Linked DNA regions of Ovis aries. The protein of the gene in region 1 purifies or fractionates together with the protein of each later gene. This does not show direct contact. Links are inferred from orthologs where the notes say so. Each region holds a gene or a part of one and is shown on either strand. Other genes may lie near its edges.

What was found.
Region 2: the proteins of NCAPD3 (region 1) and SMC4 purify together in Homo sapiens (co-immunoprecipitation; 3 studies listed by BioGRID and IntAct, with this or other methods). This does not show direct contact. The link is inferred for Ovis aries from reciprocal best matches to the Homo sapiens genes NCAPD3 and SMC4.

The regions. Positions count from the first base shown.
Region 1 is NC_056068.1:82,067,709-82,075,922, forward strand, and holds the start of NCAPD3 (condensin-2 complex subunit D3), read right to left. Parts: upstream 5,639-8,214; 5' UTR 5,623-5,638; coding exon 5,559-5,622; intron 4,638-5,558; coding exon 4,483-4,637; intron 1,747-4,482; exon of another isoform or gene 1,658-1,746; coding exon 1,495-1,657; intron 197-1,494; coding exon 12-196; intron 1-11. Other genes in the region: VPS26B (vacuolar protein sorting-associated protein 26B), read left to right, coding at 6,488-6,710.
Region 2 is NC_056054.1:227,740,060-227,747,752, forward strand, and holds part of SMC4 (structural maintenance of chromosomes protein 4), read right to left. Parts: intron 5,263-7,693; coding exon 5,098-5,262; intron 4,853-5,097; coding exon 4,725-4,852; intron 4,296-4,724; coding exon 4,155-4,295; intron 3,490-4,154; coding exon 3,339-3,489; intron 1,981-3,338; coding exon 1,816-1,980; intron 493-1,815; coding exon 259-492; intron 1-258. UniProt on the Homo sapiens protein: Central component of the condensin complex, a complex required for conversion of interphase chromatin into mitotic-like condense chromosomes.

The DNA.
Region 1 (8,214 bases):
CCCCCGCTTACCTCCACCTCCTCTCTCCTGTGGGGTCTTGCCCTCTTACTGCTCTCCTGCGAGTTGCCCTGAGTGTTCTTTGGTTGCTCTTTCTTTCTTTTCTGATTCAAGCTGGATTCCTGAGGCCAGCACTTCTTTAGAATCTGAATGCATTTGTCAAATATCACTGGATGGAAAACTTGATTGACTACGCTGCCTATTTGTAAAGAATAAAGAGTAAGCAAGGTAGGTTTAATTGCTTTGAAATATATCTGCTACAACAATGAAATATTTAAAAACAAACGCAGGCTTTTCCTTAACTAACAGGAACCTTTAGCAAAAAAGTTTAATTCAACTTCCACCCTAGGCAACGAGCAGTCAGTTCAGTTCAGTCGCTCAGTTGTGTCCGACTCTTTGCAACCCCACGGACTGTGGCACGCCAGGCCTCCCTGTCTATCACCAACTGCTGGAACTTGCTCAAACTCATGTCCATCAAGTTGGTGATGCCATCTGACCATCTCATCCTCTGTCATCCCCTTCTCCTCCTGCCTGCAATCTATCCCGGCATCAGGGTCTTTTCAAATCAGTCAGCTCTTTGCATCAGGTGGCCAAAGTATTGGCATTTCAGCATCAGTCCTTCCAATGAATATTCAGGACTGATCTCCTTTAGGATGGACTGGTTGGATCTCCTTGCAGTCCAAGGGACTCTCAAGAGTCTTCTGCAACACCACAGTTCAAAAGCATCAATTCCTCAGTGCTCAGCTTTCATTATAGTCCCAACTCTCACATCCATACATGACTACTGGGAAAACCACAGCTATGACTAGACGGATCTTTGTCAGCAGAGTAATGTCTCTGCTTTTTAATATGCTGTCTAAGTTGGTCATAGCTTTTCTTCCAATTCTCAGATCATAGGAGTAGGTCCCTAACATTTACTACAAAGGCACCGACATAAGCAATTACAAGCAGCAGGTTGACTGACCCTGATTTTCTCTCTGGTGGACTCGCAGTCCCACAGCTGCAGCTGACTCCTCAGCCGCACCGTCTCCTGCCCTGGGCTCGGGGCGGGTCCCGCCTGGACGAGGTGGGGCACCATCCCAGACACACTCCTCCCTGGGCTCCCTCACTGTGACTAGCTGTGCTCAGCCCTGCAGGTGAGGACAGCCCACCGACCGTCCACACGACACAGCGGGAAGAGCAGCAGCCCTCCAACCAGCACTGTTCTCAGGCTGGACAGGAGTGAGAAGGCAGGGACACCACGAAGGCACGGGGCACGCCCCTCCAGCCTTACCCCTCTGGGACTGTGTGCTGGGTTACAGACTTAGCACGGTAACATCCGAAGCCACATTTACAGGAAAACAGGGGAGCTTTCTGAACACCTGTGACAGACCATGGGCTTCACAGATTCACTGTCACCTAACCTCCCAGCAAGGACAAAGCATTGATGTAACAGTTCAAAACCAAGCAGACAAATTACAAACAGAAGGCCTGCCCCATCACACCAAACGTGCATACCTGGTACTTCCAACAGCAGAAAATACAGCCCGGCGGCGTGAAGGCCAAATTCCTGCTGCTGAGCACTGACATTTTTCTTAAGGGCCTTATAAACGAAGTGGTGAAACAAGGCCATCAGCGCATTGTGGGAAATTCTGTTCTCCACGAAGAAGGTCCAAATGCTCTAGGGGAGGGCAAACGGTAAGCACCAGTCGTTAGAGCGCTGTGAGAGTCTCCTCTTGCTGTTTCTGATTCTTCTGAGTGCTTAGTGCCCTATAAAAAAACGAACAGACCATTCTGCCTCCTAATTATAAACGTCTGCCATTTTCAAAGGGACTAAAACAGAACATTTAAAAGTGTATTATTCAAAATTTACAAAGTTGAGGAGTTTCCTGGTGGTCCAGTGGTTAGGACTCCATGCCTTCACTGGGGAGAGTCTGGGTTCCATTACTGGTTTGGAACTAAGATCCCACAAGCTGAGTGGCTCAGCCAATAAAAGAAAAAGTAAACGAAAATCACAAAGATAAGAAACTATACAAGAATCTTAATTAAACTTGCAAAATAACTTTGGGTAAGTTTGAAGCGTATGTATTTCTGAAATTACTACACCTGAAAGCTACACTAAGACTCTGGGGACACCTCTGTCAGTGATTACTCAGACAAGTCACCCCTCCATCTATGTTAAATGTATCTCAATCCATTTATTACTCTAATTACTAACTAAAAAAATCAGAGCAACTTTTTTTAAGTCAAAATGTTTTGTGGGCAATGGGAGCAGGAGAGGAAAACCTGTGAGTGTCTCGCTCAACAGACTGCAGAAACAGCCTCGGTAGGAGAGGAAGTAAGCCTTAGACCACAAACCATATTTTCATTACTTTGATCACTATTCACGCTTTCCCCTCTTATAGACATGAGGAGGAAATAGCTTATTTGAGTAAAGCAAACAGTAGGAGCGAAATATGGCTCACTATGGGCCACCTTAAAAAACAGAAGCCCACAGAAGCTCAAGAAATCAGACCTCGACAACCTCTTTCCTTCACCACGAAGCTTGTGGAAGAAAGCAGTTACATCTTCATTTCTAAGGCCACCTCAGCTCCCCTCCCGCTGCCTGGAACTGTGACCCTGGGGGACCCAATCACCTTGGAAGCATTTCATACCTGACAAAGACCCAGTTCACAAAACTCTATTAACTCTATTTGAAAAGAGTCCCCAGTTTTTAGCCCTCCACCCCAATTTCCACAACTGTAACCCAGACCACACCACAACACACATTTTTCAAAAAATCAATGAGCAAAACACAACTGACTATTGCACGACACGGAGCGAGTGGGAAATCCTCACGTAATTCACAGCCGGCCCTCCACAGACACAGGTCCTTCACATCTGCGGCTCTGCATCCAGGGACTGAAACTCCTGGGACCATGCAGTCCTGTAGGTACTACTGAAAACTCTGCACAGAAGTGGGCCTGTGCAGCCAAAACCATGGGATTCAGGGGTCAGTCATAATGTCCCTAGGGAGCTCCCTGGGGACAGCATTCCCCCCTTAAGTCTGTGTTTGGTTAAGAACACCCACTGAAACAGCACTCTTCATGTTCCTGGGTCTACTGCACACTAGAACCCCTTCCTCCAAGAGGCAGATGGGAGGACAAGCGGTTTAGTCTAGGGATGACGCTTAGACCTGAACCTTGTGGACAGCAAACACCTCACTCCAGAAGCCTACCACAGACCCCACTCACAGCTGTCCTGTGGCCTCCACCCTGCCCCACCCCCTCGGACTTGCTGTACATCCCCACTGTGAGGATCCCTCCCAAGGCTGCCCTGGAATCCTCATTACTGGTCAGCACTCCAGCCATTTGTGAAGATGTGCCTCCAGCCAGCTACCTTTCTGGGACCTTCCCAGCCTCAACCTCAGCAAGCTGCCTTTTCCAGGCAAGCCAAGATGGCATTTAACGTGTCCTACAGAAGTTTCTAACACATAGAGCTGGTGGCCCGTGCTTCTTCAGGCCCGTGGATGTGGTCACTGCACAGGCTCTGGCCAGAGCAATGACAGTGCACGCTCCCAGAGCTTAATTCTCCCCTCTCCTGCAACCCCCTGTAGGGAGAGGCTCTGTACCCTCACCATGTTACGCTCCTGGGTACTGCACGTGGTACTCAGCATTACGCTTAACGAGTATTTAACAGGTCGATTTAATTTCTGAACAGCTACCTGAAACTAATAACAGAAATATTTTTTAAGTTTAAATCTTTCGGAGATATTAATACATAAGTATTCTTTGTTCTGCTTTCTAGTCCTTCAGTTTTTTGAAAAGAAGTTTATGACCTAAAGCGTAACAGACACTACGTAGAACTCCATTTAAAACAACTCTTTTTTTTCCTTTCTTAGTTCAACTAATCACTTCTCAGATCAACATTCAATTTCCTTAAAGCAAAGGCATCCTGAGTTGTTAACTGCACTGTCCTTGGCCATTTTTTCTTATTTCGCTTATTGGTTTTCATCCTTACCTTGGCCTTTACTCTTTTCCTTTAATTTGCTCGTTAACAATGCTCATGACACGGAAAGAATCACAGACTAATAACTTGGGAGGACGGTTATGAGGCCATCCCAGTAAGTTATCCCAGACGGTTATGAGGCCATCCCAGTAAGTTATCCCAGACAGTTATGAGGCCATCCCAGTAAGTGATCCCAGACGGTTATGAGGCGATCCCAGACAGTCATGAGGCCATCCCAGTAAGTGATCCCAGACGGTTATGAGGCCATCCCAGTAAGTTATCCCAGATGGTTATGAGGCCATCCCAGTAAGCGACCCCAGACAGTTATGAGGCCATCCCAGTAAGTGATCCCAGACGGTTATGAGGCCATCCCAGTAAGTGAACCGCATTCTTTACACCGCTCTTCCTTCCTTCTGCACTGCATACCAAAGAGACCAAGCTCTAGATGATACCGGGGTTTACCTGACACTTCTAACAACGAAATGGCTAGCTTGTTTTTTTTTTTTTCCTCTCTTTTACCTCAGCAGCGTCACGTTTTTCAGTAGCAAAAGGTAGCATTGCGCTGTAAAGCTCTGTGAATGCGCTCAGTCCAGTCTGCACGATCTCTGCTTCTATGCCGGCATCCAGAGGCTCGGTCTCCGTGAATTCCAGTTCCCATACTCCATCCACCCATTCTAGTAGGAAAATGCAACTACAGTCAACTAATGTTCTGTAGCAGTTAGCTTTAGACTCTAAATACATTCAAGAATAGAACAGTTTTCTGGGCACAAGTCATACCACACAGGTGAGGCAGAATGAAGAGAGAAGCAGAAAGGGTTAGAAAAATCTGTATACTCATTAAACTGACAGCTGGCTATTATGCTGGCCATCCTCTAAAAACATGAAGTAGGAAAACACTTTACAGATGTTAACCGTTTTGGGGAAGACCCAGCCTTCCCATATGTTCAAGCTAGAGAACAGGTAATAAAAAGCTGTCTCAGCTGCCCCTTTGTGAAAGTCTTATAACGAAGCTGAAGTCGCGCAGTCGCGTCCCACTGTCTGTGACCCCACGGACTGTAGCCCGCCAGGCTCCTCTGTCTGCGGGATTCTGCAGACAAGAACACTGGAGTGGGTTGCCCTACCCTTCTCCAGAGGATCTTGGCGACTCAGGGCTCGAACCCGTGTCTCGTACGCTGCAGGCAGATTCTTTACCGTCTGAGTCACTAGCTAATAAATCCAAATAAAGTGTACAGTGGAAAAGGACAGGTGAGGGAAACAAAATGAAATGACTCAAAAAAAAATGACTGCCGGCTACGGAGATGCCGCGGAATGGAACGCAGCCTCGAGACAGCGGCCAGCAGCGACTGCGGCGGGTGGGGACACCCACTGCCCTTCAGTGACGACGGGCGCCCGGAGGCTCCAGCCGCACCCCTGGGCCCCACGTTCAGAAGGTCAGCTCGGGCCAACAAACAGCCGCGCGGCCGAAGCCTCGGCACTTGCGAGGCTGTCCGCGCAGACGCGGGGGCAAGGCCGAGAAACAGGAGTACTGAGCAGAAGGAGGACGCGGCCCTTGCCCAGCATCCCCCAGAGCACCCGGGCCCCGGGCGCGTCCTCACCTTGGCTGAGGTCCAGGGGGCACCAGGTCTGCAGGGCGCACGCCAGGTTCCCGCCAGCCTCCATGACGGCCGCTCACTTCACTTTCAAAGTTGCTCGGGCGCGCGCGCCCAGAAGGCCCCGCTGACGTCAAAGGTCAGCACCGACCAATCACCGCGCCCCGCTGGCAGGACGGCAGCCAATCAGCAGGGCCTTCCGCCGGATGCGCAAAGGGAGAGAGCACCGCCCACGCAACTGAAGTTGGGGGTTTTCAGCTGTCGCTTCAAAGTGAGGCTAAAGAAACGAGCCAAGCATACTGCCTTCCGGCTTCTTTTCCCTACGTGGCGGACGCACTGAAGAGAAGCTGAAGCAGGGCACTTCCTGTTGTAACTGTCACTTCTGCCCCCTGTCAGGCGGCCTGTCGAAGGGCCGCGTTTACCCGTCACTCAGCAAGCGGAGGCGTACACAGCCGAGTGGGGGAGCTGCCTACCGGTCAACGGATTAAACACAGGAAAGGCAGAAAAGGCAGCCAGAAAGGGCTCTTTTTTTTAGAAAGGACACCGTTAGGTCTGAATTTTACTGGACTGGTGTTTGACAGGTCGGGCAGGAGCCAGGAAGGAGCCGCCGCCGCCCCGCCGGCTGCCGGGCGTGGGGCGGTGCTCGCGGCGCGCAGGCGCAGTGCGAGCTCCCCGGGGGCGCGGCGGCCGCGCTGGGGGCGGGCCGTGCGCATGCGCGCAGCCACTCCGGCGCGTCCGGCTGAGCCGCGGACGCGCTGCAAGCTGCTCCGGGGCCGGGCTGCTGCCTCCGAGGTGGGCTCCGCAGGCCGCGGCCGGCGGGTGCCTGGCGCGCCCGCTCTGCCCCGCCCTCGGAACCGCGCCGGCCCGGCGAGCGCGGGCGTCGGCGTCGTGCCCAGCCCGCCGGCCTCCCCAGGCCCGGCCGGCCCGGCAGGGCCATGAGCTTCTTTGGCTTCGGGCAGAGCGTGGATGTGGACATCCTGCTGAACGACGCGGATAGCAGGCGGCGGGCCGAGCACAAGACCGAGGATGGGAAGAAGGACAAGTACTTCCTCTTCTACGATGGCGAGACGGTGGCCGGGAAGGTGAGCCTGGCTCTCAAGAACCCCAACAAGCGGCTGGAGCACCAGGGCATCAAGGTCGAGTTCATCGGGCAGATCGGTGAGTGCGGGATCCGCCGCGCCCGGGCCCACCCCTGCGCCCGCCCTCGACCCGTGACCCCGAGCCAGCCTCTGACCTCCCTCTCCAGACCCCTGGCGCGACCCGAAACCCTGCCCCCCAGCCCCCGCACCCCCTGCTGCGATTTGAGACCGCTGCGCCCCCTCCAGCCCCTGGCGCGACCCGAACCCCTGTCTTCTAACCCCTGCACGCACGGCTGCAATTCCAGACCCCCTGTCCCCCACTCCGCCCCAGGCCCTGTGGTCTGTTGCCCGCCGCCCTGGGTCCGAGCTCCGCGGGCCTGCCTCGGCTTCCGTGCCAGCTGGGCCAGCCTGCAGGTCGTGACCACCACTCCGAGCGCCGCGTGGCCCGCCCCCCTCTCTCTAGTGTCTGTGCCCACCAGCCTCTTACTGCACCTTCGCTGGGAGCTGCTTGAGAAAGCATCCCCGCGGGCTCCGGCATCAGCCCTGCGTCCACACAAGCTGCATCCCTAAGACTTCCTGATTAGAAGAGTCTGCGGCACTCTTCTTAAAGAAAGGGTGCTCCCAAGCCCCAGATCTAAGTGGCCAAAATTTCCCAAGGCTCTAACAGTTTTCAAACATGATTGTTAGCCGTTACAGCTAGACAATAAAAAACAGGTTTGGGAGCTGCCAGTCAACACAGGGTTGTCTCCACTTCTGTTTGGACTCTCCTGTTTATTAAAACTCACAGGTACTTCTGAAATAGTTTGTGTCAGTAGTTCAGGAGTAGGGTCACAGTAAATACCACAGTTGGCTGAAAAGACATCGAGCAGAGAAATCATGCCCCATGCCCCCGCCCGCTCTGGTCCTGTGTAGGGGGTTTCCTGGGAACGCTCCTCAGAGGCTCTCTGTCACTCCCTGAGATCCCAGCACAGAATCTGTTCTCCATTTTGATGAGACAGAAAACACGGGAGCCCTGGGGAAAGGCTGTGTGCTCAGCACTTCAGTGCCCGGCCTGAAGTATTGGCTTCTGCTGTTTAAGTTAACGGAAATCAGGTCGAAGGCTAGCTGATCCTAGGAGCCCATCCGTTGCTATTCTAAACCCAGAATGAGTGGCCTGGAGCTGGAGAGTGGGCTTTAGGCTCTCTGCCCGCTCGCTTCCGACTTCGGCAGTGCCCCTCAACAGCGGTGCTGTTGGCACGGTGGGCCTGCTCGTTCTCCATTGTCGGGGGTTGCATTTCACAGCCTCTACCAGCCAGATGCCAGAACCGCAGAAATGTCTTACATCTGTGGAAGCTAAAATCACTCCTAGCAAAGAGCTCCTGGGGACACAGGATGAACCCCCAGCATTCTGTGCTGGGCGTGAGTCAGGCGATGAAGTTCAGGCCTCCCTAGATTGAGTGTTTCCATAGCATAACGTTAAGGTTGTCACTGGATTCCGCGGCTCTGCATCAGGAGTGCACATGGGCACGTCTAGCCAGCAGCTGTGCCATCCTTCCCGGGGGTGACCGCTCCCCGTCCATGAAAGGTAGCCAGAGCGCCCCTGC
Region 2 (7,693 bases), on another chromosome or scaffold:
GATAGCAATATTATTTGCTATTTGACACTTGAGGGGAGAACAGTTTCTTGACAGTCTCAATTTAATTTGTATCAGATAGAGTACTGAAATAGTAACCTCATTCTTTTGGGAAAGATTACACTAAACAACAGCAACAAAATCTATGTATCCAGTCACACCAGATATTGAGATTAAAAAAAATATGTATGTAAATATGTATGAAAATAAAACTAGGGTTGATAAACAATGTTCATATGAAACACAGAAGCAAAAATTTACCTCCTTTAGCTCATGTTCAGTTTGAGGGAGTTTTGCCTCTATATCTCCAATTGCAGCTTTCCTTTCTTTGAGAGTCTCAGAAGCTGCCATTAGAGCTTCTTTGGCTTTACTTAATTGAGACACTGCAGTATTATGTCGACTGAGATAGATATCAAGTTCTGATTGAGCTACATCCATCTTTGAACGTGCTTCATTTACTGATTTGCTGAAGTCCATAAGTTCTTTCTCTCGACTCTGTTAAAATATGACAGGCCCCCACTTAATCTGAAATACGTGTTTTCAAACCTAAACCGAAGTGGAAACCATACATTTTAAATTTAACTTCATAGATTATGTAAGCACAATATATAGAAATAACTCTCATAAGTGAATGGACTAACAGTTTTTCCCCAGTTGTGAATGTTTATGGTATATAAAGTCTTTCCCCAACTGATTTAATAACAGCTTAATGAGGTTAACAGCTGCTACTGCTAAGTCGCTTCAGTTGTGTCCCATTCCGTGTGACCCCATAGACGGCAGCCCGCCAGGCTCCTCCGTCCCTGGGATTCTCCAGGCAAAAATACTGGAGTGGGCTGCCATTTCCTTCTATCTCAATTTAGAGACTAAAATGACAAAAAATCATGACCATCAACACACACACCCACACTACTGTAGAATATATGTTCAAAGTACTATCCTGAATGTTTTGTAAGTATCAATTCCTTAACCCAACATTCCTACAATCATCATTATGCCCATTTTGAGGAAACTGAGGTCAGATTTAAATAACTTGTTCAAAGTCATGCACTCACTCATAAGTAGCAGAGCCTGTTTTTAGCTCCAAAGATACCTAGATATGAGTCCTGGCTTTGTCACTAACCTAGGATGCCAAGGCACATGGGATTACTTGATATACATGAGATGAGCAAATGTGAAAAACTGATCTTAAAGTATTCTATTAGGAAAGTGACTGTATGATACTTAGCCACTTTATCACATAGGCATCCTACTTATAAACTCTTATAGATGATATCAGAACATGTCCATATTTTAAAACAGAATCAATTTATAGTTAGTCTGTCGAGAAACCCCGAAACACTTCACTGAGGTATAATTTACAAAGATCTTATATGTAACTGACTTAAGCAACCAAGAATGAACACAAGAGCCATAGCTTTAAAACTATTACACAAGAGCTACAAAAGTAAAGAAGGGAGATGTCGACCTATGGTTAGTGTGGTCCCAAGCAATTAAATTACCAAGAAAATAATTTAAGAGAAGAGAAAACGTGATGACTAAACCAACATTAATAGAGAAAAGCACATAAAGCAAAGTATGTGATATGCATTTTCTTCTACCACTTTAAGTTCTCATTCTCGGTTAACGTCTTTTTAAAATGAGAAAGCAGAAAACAAAAAAAGGAGAGTCTAGGTTGACCGTTTTTTGGGGATGTTAGATAAAAGCCCAAACTTTTCATTCTAATAGTTCATTTTTTTACTATTACTATAAAAATAATCTTTAAGATAGGAGGGGAAAAAAGCCATCAAAATAAACACCAACTGATAAAAGAAATCTTACTTCTTTTTCTTTTTGAAGGCCTTGTGTTTCCTGCTTAAGGCTATCCATAACTTCCTTTAATTTTTCTTCTTCTTTTTCTTTTTCTTTCTCAAGGGCATTGTTTTTAGTTGTTGTCTCCCTTATGATATTCTCACTCTTGGCAGGTATACCTTTAAATTCTTCAACCTAAGATTATAAAACAAATTAAAAAGTTACTAGGAGCATGTATCTTTAGGCTATCCAATACCATTAATATTTGACTTATTTAAAAGCATTTCTCAAGATCTTCTAGATCTTTGCAGTTTTCATTGTAATTAGGTTTGAACCTGCTAGCTTTAGCAAGTATACTTCCTTAACCATATGCTATAATTTCTATATTCTCAGTCTAATTCATAGAATCAGGTAAAGATAATTCTATGAGTTCTTGATTCCTTACAAAAGACAATTCTCCTTGGCTGGGCTTTATATCTTTCTTCCTTCTGCTCTAACTTTATGCTGTAATTAACTTTCTTCACCTACGAACATGGTCTGAGTACATGTAATTCCTTAAGTACCCTTCATGGTACATGGTACATTACAACTTTACACCCCCTAGTCTCTCTCAAATCCTAAGATCTTTCCCAACTTTACCCTTTCAGAGTCACTATGTGGGACTCGTATTTTATTCCATTAATACCTTCCAGTAATAATCACTCTTTCACAGCTGGTGTCCAACGGTTAATAACTACTTAAGTTACATTTGGCTTACTCTGTCCAATTTAGGGGTTACAATGACATCCATGGTATTTTGCTTAATCTGGTTATCTATAACGGGAGAAATTAAACACTTCCCAAAACATTATCCCTCAAACACTGATTCATATAAGATGTGCTACTACTGTAACACAAAGTATTTTGTGAATAAATGCATTTGCTTATAAGGTAAAGCAGAGCCTATAAGTACCATGTAAATATATGGTACAAAACTTTTTTGAGGGGAGGGGCTTTCAGTGTTGCCTCTATAATACCTGATTAAACTGTGAATATATTTGAAATGCTCCAAATTAATTATTAGTCTGGGTCCCAGCAAATTAGGCACTCTGGTCTAAAGTTCATCATCTTTTAAATCTTCAAACTAGCTAATCAACCCCTTGCTATAAATTATGGCTTCCTCTTCCCTCCTTTCTAAAGAGAAACTCCTGCTGATATTCTTAACTTGATTTCTATAGACAAAGGTACTACTTTTAAAAGTCTATGCTATGTAGCCCCAAACCTCTTTTTAAACCATATATTATAGAAAGATTATTTTGTCAACAAAATAGAATTACTGATTTGGTAAACAATTCTCCAACAATGTACATCAGATACATAAGCTCTAAAACTCAAAGTCAATGAATGCAGGATTTCCATAGTGAGTGAGGGGGAGAATTAGGTTCAGAGATAAATCCTGAAGCCCTTAACATTCAGAATTCCAATTCATTTTCTAAGGGGCAAGAACATTCATGAAAAATAAGAACTACATCCGACAGACATGAAATATTAAGCATTTCCCCCACATAACCTACCTTTTCTTTATCTTTTTGAAGTTGTTTCTCTAGTTTTTTGGCTTTACTTGTAGCATGTTTCAATTTTTCCCTAACTTGAACATCTTCCAAATCTAGTTTTGTAAATTTTTCTTTGTTCTCCTCAATAAATTTTGTAATTTTACTCAGCTTCCTAGCAAAGTAAGAAAATTATCAGTCACTATTTTGGATATTCAGATATTTTAAAGTGACTTTATATACCTTGCTTGAACCACTATGTAAGTGTACCAAGTTCTTATAAGGTAGGATCCTAATACTACCTGCTTCAAGCTAACCCTCCTCTCCATCCATATTTGAAGAAGTTGTTAAAATGTGTGGTTATGGGTTATTTTGTCCTTCAAAGCTAGATTGGAAATAGTGACTATGATGTCTAGGTATATAAAAATTTGACCATTAAAAAAAAACAGGCAAAACTCATTTTAAAGAATAAAAAAACGAAAACTGAATAGGTAAGGGATACTGGTATCACTGAAGATTGCCATGAAAAAAGTAATGATACAACTTTAAGACAACTAACCTGTCAGGTTAAATACCTATTTTTGCAATGATGTTTTGTATTATTGGGTTCTGCCACTAGGGGGTAGCATTCTCCACTATTAAAGACCAGAGTTGGGCACTCAAACCTGTGATAAACTGGAAACGCAGTTCAGTTTTTTGGTTGCAAAAAGAAACCATTTAAAATATTTTATATGCTGGCAAATATATTGCCTTCATATGCTGTATTAAGTTTATATATAGACACACACACATACATGTAATAAAATAATCTACTTTTAGTACTTTCCAAAAGATTATTACTTCTCTATATCTTTTACAGCTTTATTCTTAGCTTTCATTTCATTTGACAGTATATTGCTCTTCTCATTAATTTCTTTGGTATCTTCATTAATTTTTTCCTTTTGAGTTTCCATTTCAGCAATTCGTTTCTGCAGATCATAACTAGAGAGAGAAAAAAAGCTATCAGAGATCCTAAAGTACCATTTTAAAAAGTCTGAAACTATTTTAAGTAAATTCAGCTGTTTCTATATCTAGGTCTTTGGAGGGGGAAGGAAGAAACCAACCCAGGGTCAAAGCTAGCATTAGGACCAAAATAGGATCCATATAAACACAATTAGATCTGCTATTAAATGAATTAAAAAGAATTTATAAGTAAAACTATTAAGTATTAAGCATAGTGATATTTGTGAACCCAACTTCAAGTAGGATAGTTAAAAATTAACTTCACTACTATATCAAAAACTCTAATTTAATAAATTCATCACAACCACTTGCAGAATTTTTTTTTTTACTTCAGTCTTCACATTTCTCTAATACAGGAAGAGAGAACAGATTAGATTAATACAAAAGTTGATAAATTAAGGTACTTACATGTAATATTGACAAACGTGATTCTTTTTTCTAAATATTTCATTTTCCAAGGTAAGAAATTCAATGGCTATGTTTTTCTCTCCTTCTAAGGCATCTTTTTCCTTTTCTACCATTTTAACTCTGTTTAACTACAAAAGTTAAAAGGATAGAAATTGTTCATGTTAAGTGTATTGAACAGTCTGAATTTAAAATATGCCAACATTAGATAAAAACAAACTACATTCATAAAACAATGTTTCTCTGAAATATTAATAAGGAAAACATAAAACTTTGCTTAAACAATTATGATCTATCATAACTTGAATTATCTGGCTTAGTAAAATCTGTTAATCAATGAAACATTCTGGTTTACAAAAGTCTATGGAAGATTCACCTTCTCTCCTCTGTGTTCATTTAATATTTCAACTCTCCGACACAAGACTTTAATAGGTTCATTCAGTCGTCCAGAACCAATTATATCTTCTAAATATTCAAGCATACCCTCATCGTGTTCAGTCTGGCCTTTTGGTTTCATCATAGCAATTTGTTCAACTTCACCCTTTAAAAAAAGTAATTTTTCACACTCACTGTATATGTTTGGCTACATCAGCCTCAAGTAAGAACTAGAAACAAGTCAATTAGCAAATCCAACATTAAACTAAATGATATGAATCAGTAGCATAAAGAGATTTTAGTAAGATGCAAATAGGACTTCCCTGATGGATCAGTGGTAAAGAAGCCTCCTGCCAGAGACTTGAGTTTGATCCCTGGTCTGGGAAGATCCCACATTCCTCAGAGCAACTAAGTCCGTGTGCTGCCAACTACTGAGCCTGTGCTCCAGAGACCAGCTTTGCAACAAGAGAAGCTACTGCAATGGGAAGCCTGCACAACACTAGAGTAGCTCCCATTCACTGCAACTAGAGAAAGCCTGTGCAAAGCAACAAAGACCCAGCACAGCCAAAAATAAATACATAAATAAAAGTATATAACAATGCAAGTAATGATGTTCTTACTTTCTAAACAAACAAACAAGCCATTAAACGAAAAAGGAAATACTATTTTCTCTCATGGTAGTAACAGGAAAACTGACTGCAAACTAAAGGTCTTGGTATATACAACACTGGAAAACTTTTGCTTGCAATTATTATTATAACAACTTTTAAACTATAGTTAAAATCTAAGATTAACATTATATATTTGCATTTATGCAGTTCAGTTACAAAGAGAAACGAAAAAAGTACAGTCAGTAACTTTCAAGGCTGACTGAAAGGCAGCCATTTAACTTGATGGGGGAGAAAATTTTGTCTGAATATGCTCAGGCAAAATGCTACTTTACTCCACACTAGTAGTCTGCCTGTACTCTTTATTACAACAGAAGAAAAGGGACAGACAAGTAGAAAACTAAAAACATACCCCTTTATTTCTGCAAAACAGCACAAAATGTTATCCTGAAAAAAAAATTTTTTAAAAGGGGCATATATTCTGTCTCAATTTAAGTATCTACAGTATTTATAAATGAAACTTAAAAATCTGGGTTAAAACTTGCTAATGACAAAGCATCATATTTCCAAAATCTTCAATATAATTATATACAGTAGAAAAAAACTAAAGATCAAACAAGAAAGGATAAAACAACTCCTTGAAAAATCTACTTATTAGGGACTTCCCTGGCGGTCCAGTGGTTAGGGTTCTGAGCTTCCACTGCAGGGGGCACTGGTCTGATCTCCAGTTGGGGATCTAAGACCCCATAACGGGGGGGTTGGAGGGGGTAGAATCTACTCATTAAAAATCAAAATTAAAAAAAAATTTATAGATGACCAGTTTTCTGTATTTTGAAACAGCACATGATTATAAAACACAAGGTGAAATGTTATCCTAAGAGCCTGTCATTTAGATTTCTCTGTAACCTTGGGTATGTATGAATTAGATTTAGCTAAATATTAGTGTTTAAACTAAAACATGTAGACATTTATATAAAATATTTTTATATAAATATTTCAATTTATATAACTGAAATATCTGCTTTCAATTATCAGTTCTTTCCAAATATTTTAGGCAAGCTTTAGGTTTTATACAGAACTTAAGCCTGGAAGAGTATCTAAAGCTTTGGATCACAATAGGTGAGACTCTAGCCATTGTACAAGCCAAGACTTATTCAGTTGTTATCTAAACAAAGTTTATCAACAGCAACATTGCTGACATTTTGGGCTGAATACTTTGTTGTGGGGAACTATGCTGAGTATCATAAGATGTTTAATAACATCTCTGACCCTACCCACTAGATGCCAGCAGCATGAGGCTTCCCCCAGCTGTTAACAGCCTAAACTGTCTCCAGACAATGCTACATGTACTGGGTGAGAGAGAAAGCAACAAGTACTCCCAGCTGAGAATCACTAACCTGGAAGTAGTCAGTTTAACTCTTTTATGTCTGTGTTTATAATCCAAATATCTGACACCAAATAGTCTAACATTCTGATCTGATTTGAATAGCTGAACACTTACAATAAGATAAATGAAAAGCCATGCCAAGAGAACTTACGTATCTGAGTCAAATCACATAAGGTATTATTTAGGCATACATTTTTCAGATAACCAGAAGTTATGACTTGGTGTAACAATCATAAAAAATATTTCTAAAGGTATTATACTTTTCAGGCCAAACTATTTACTAAAGTGATGGAATACTACTATTAGGAGACTGCCTAGCTTCAAACAAAGCATAGTGGTTGCTTGTTTTTGGTCACTTGTTCCTCCCTTTCCAGTTAAAATTAAAGATATATAGCTCTGATTTCTTTTCATTCTAACAAGGCTGCCCAGCAGTAAAAACACTTTCAAGTGAAAGAAAAGGACATTTATGAATCAACATTTCCATCTCAAGTCCCATATAACATTGTTTTCATTTGTTATATGGGATCCATTAAAAAATGGTTATTATCAATTAACACTACTGAATCAACAGGTCATTAGAACATTTAGGCCTCTGCCTGTCA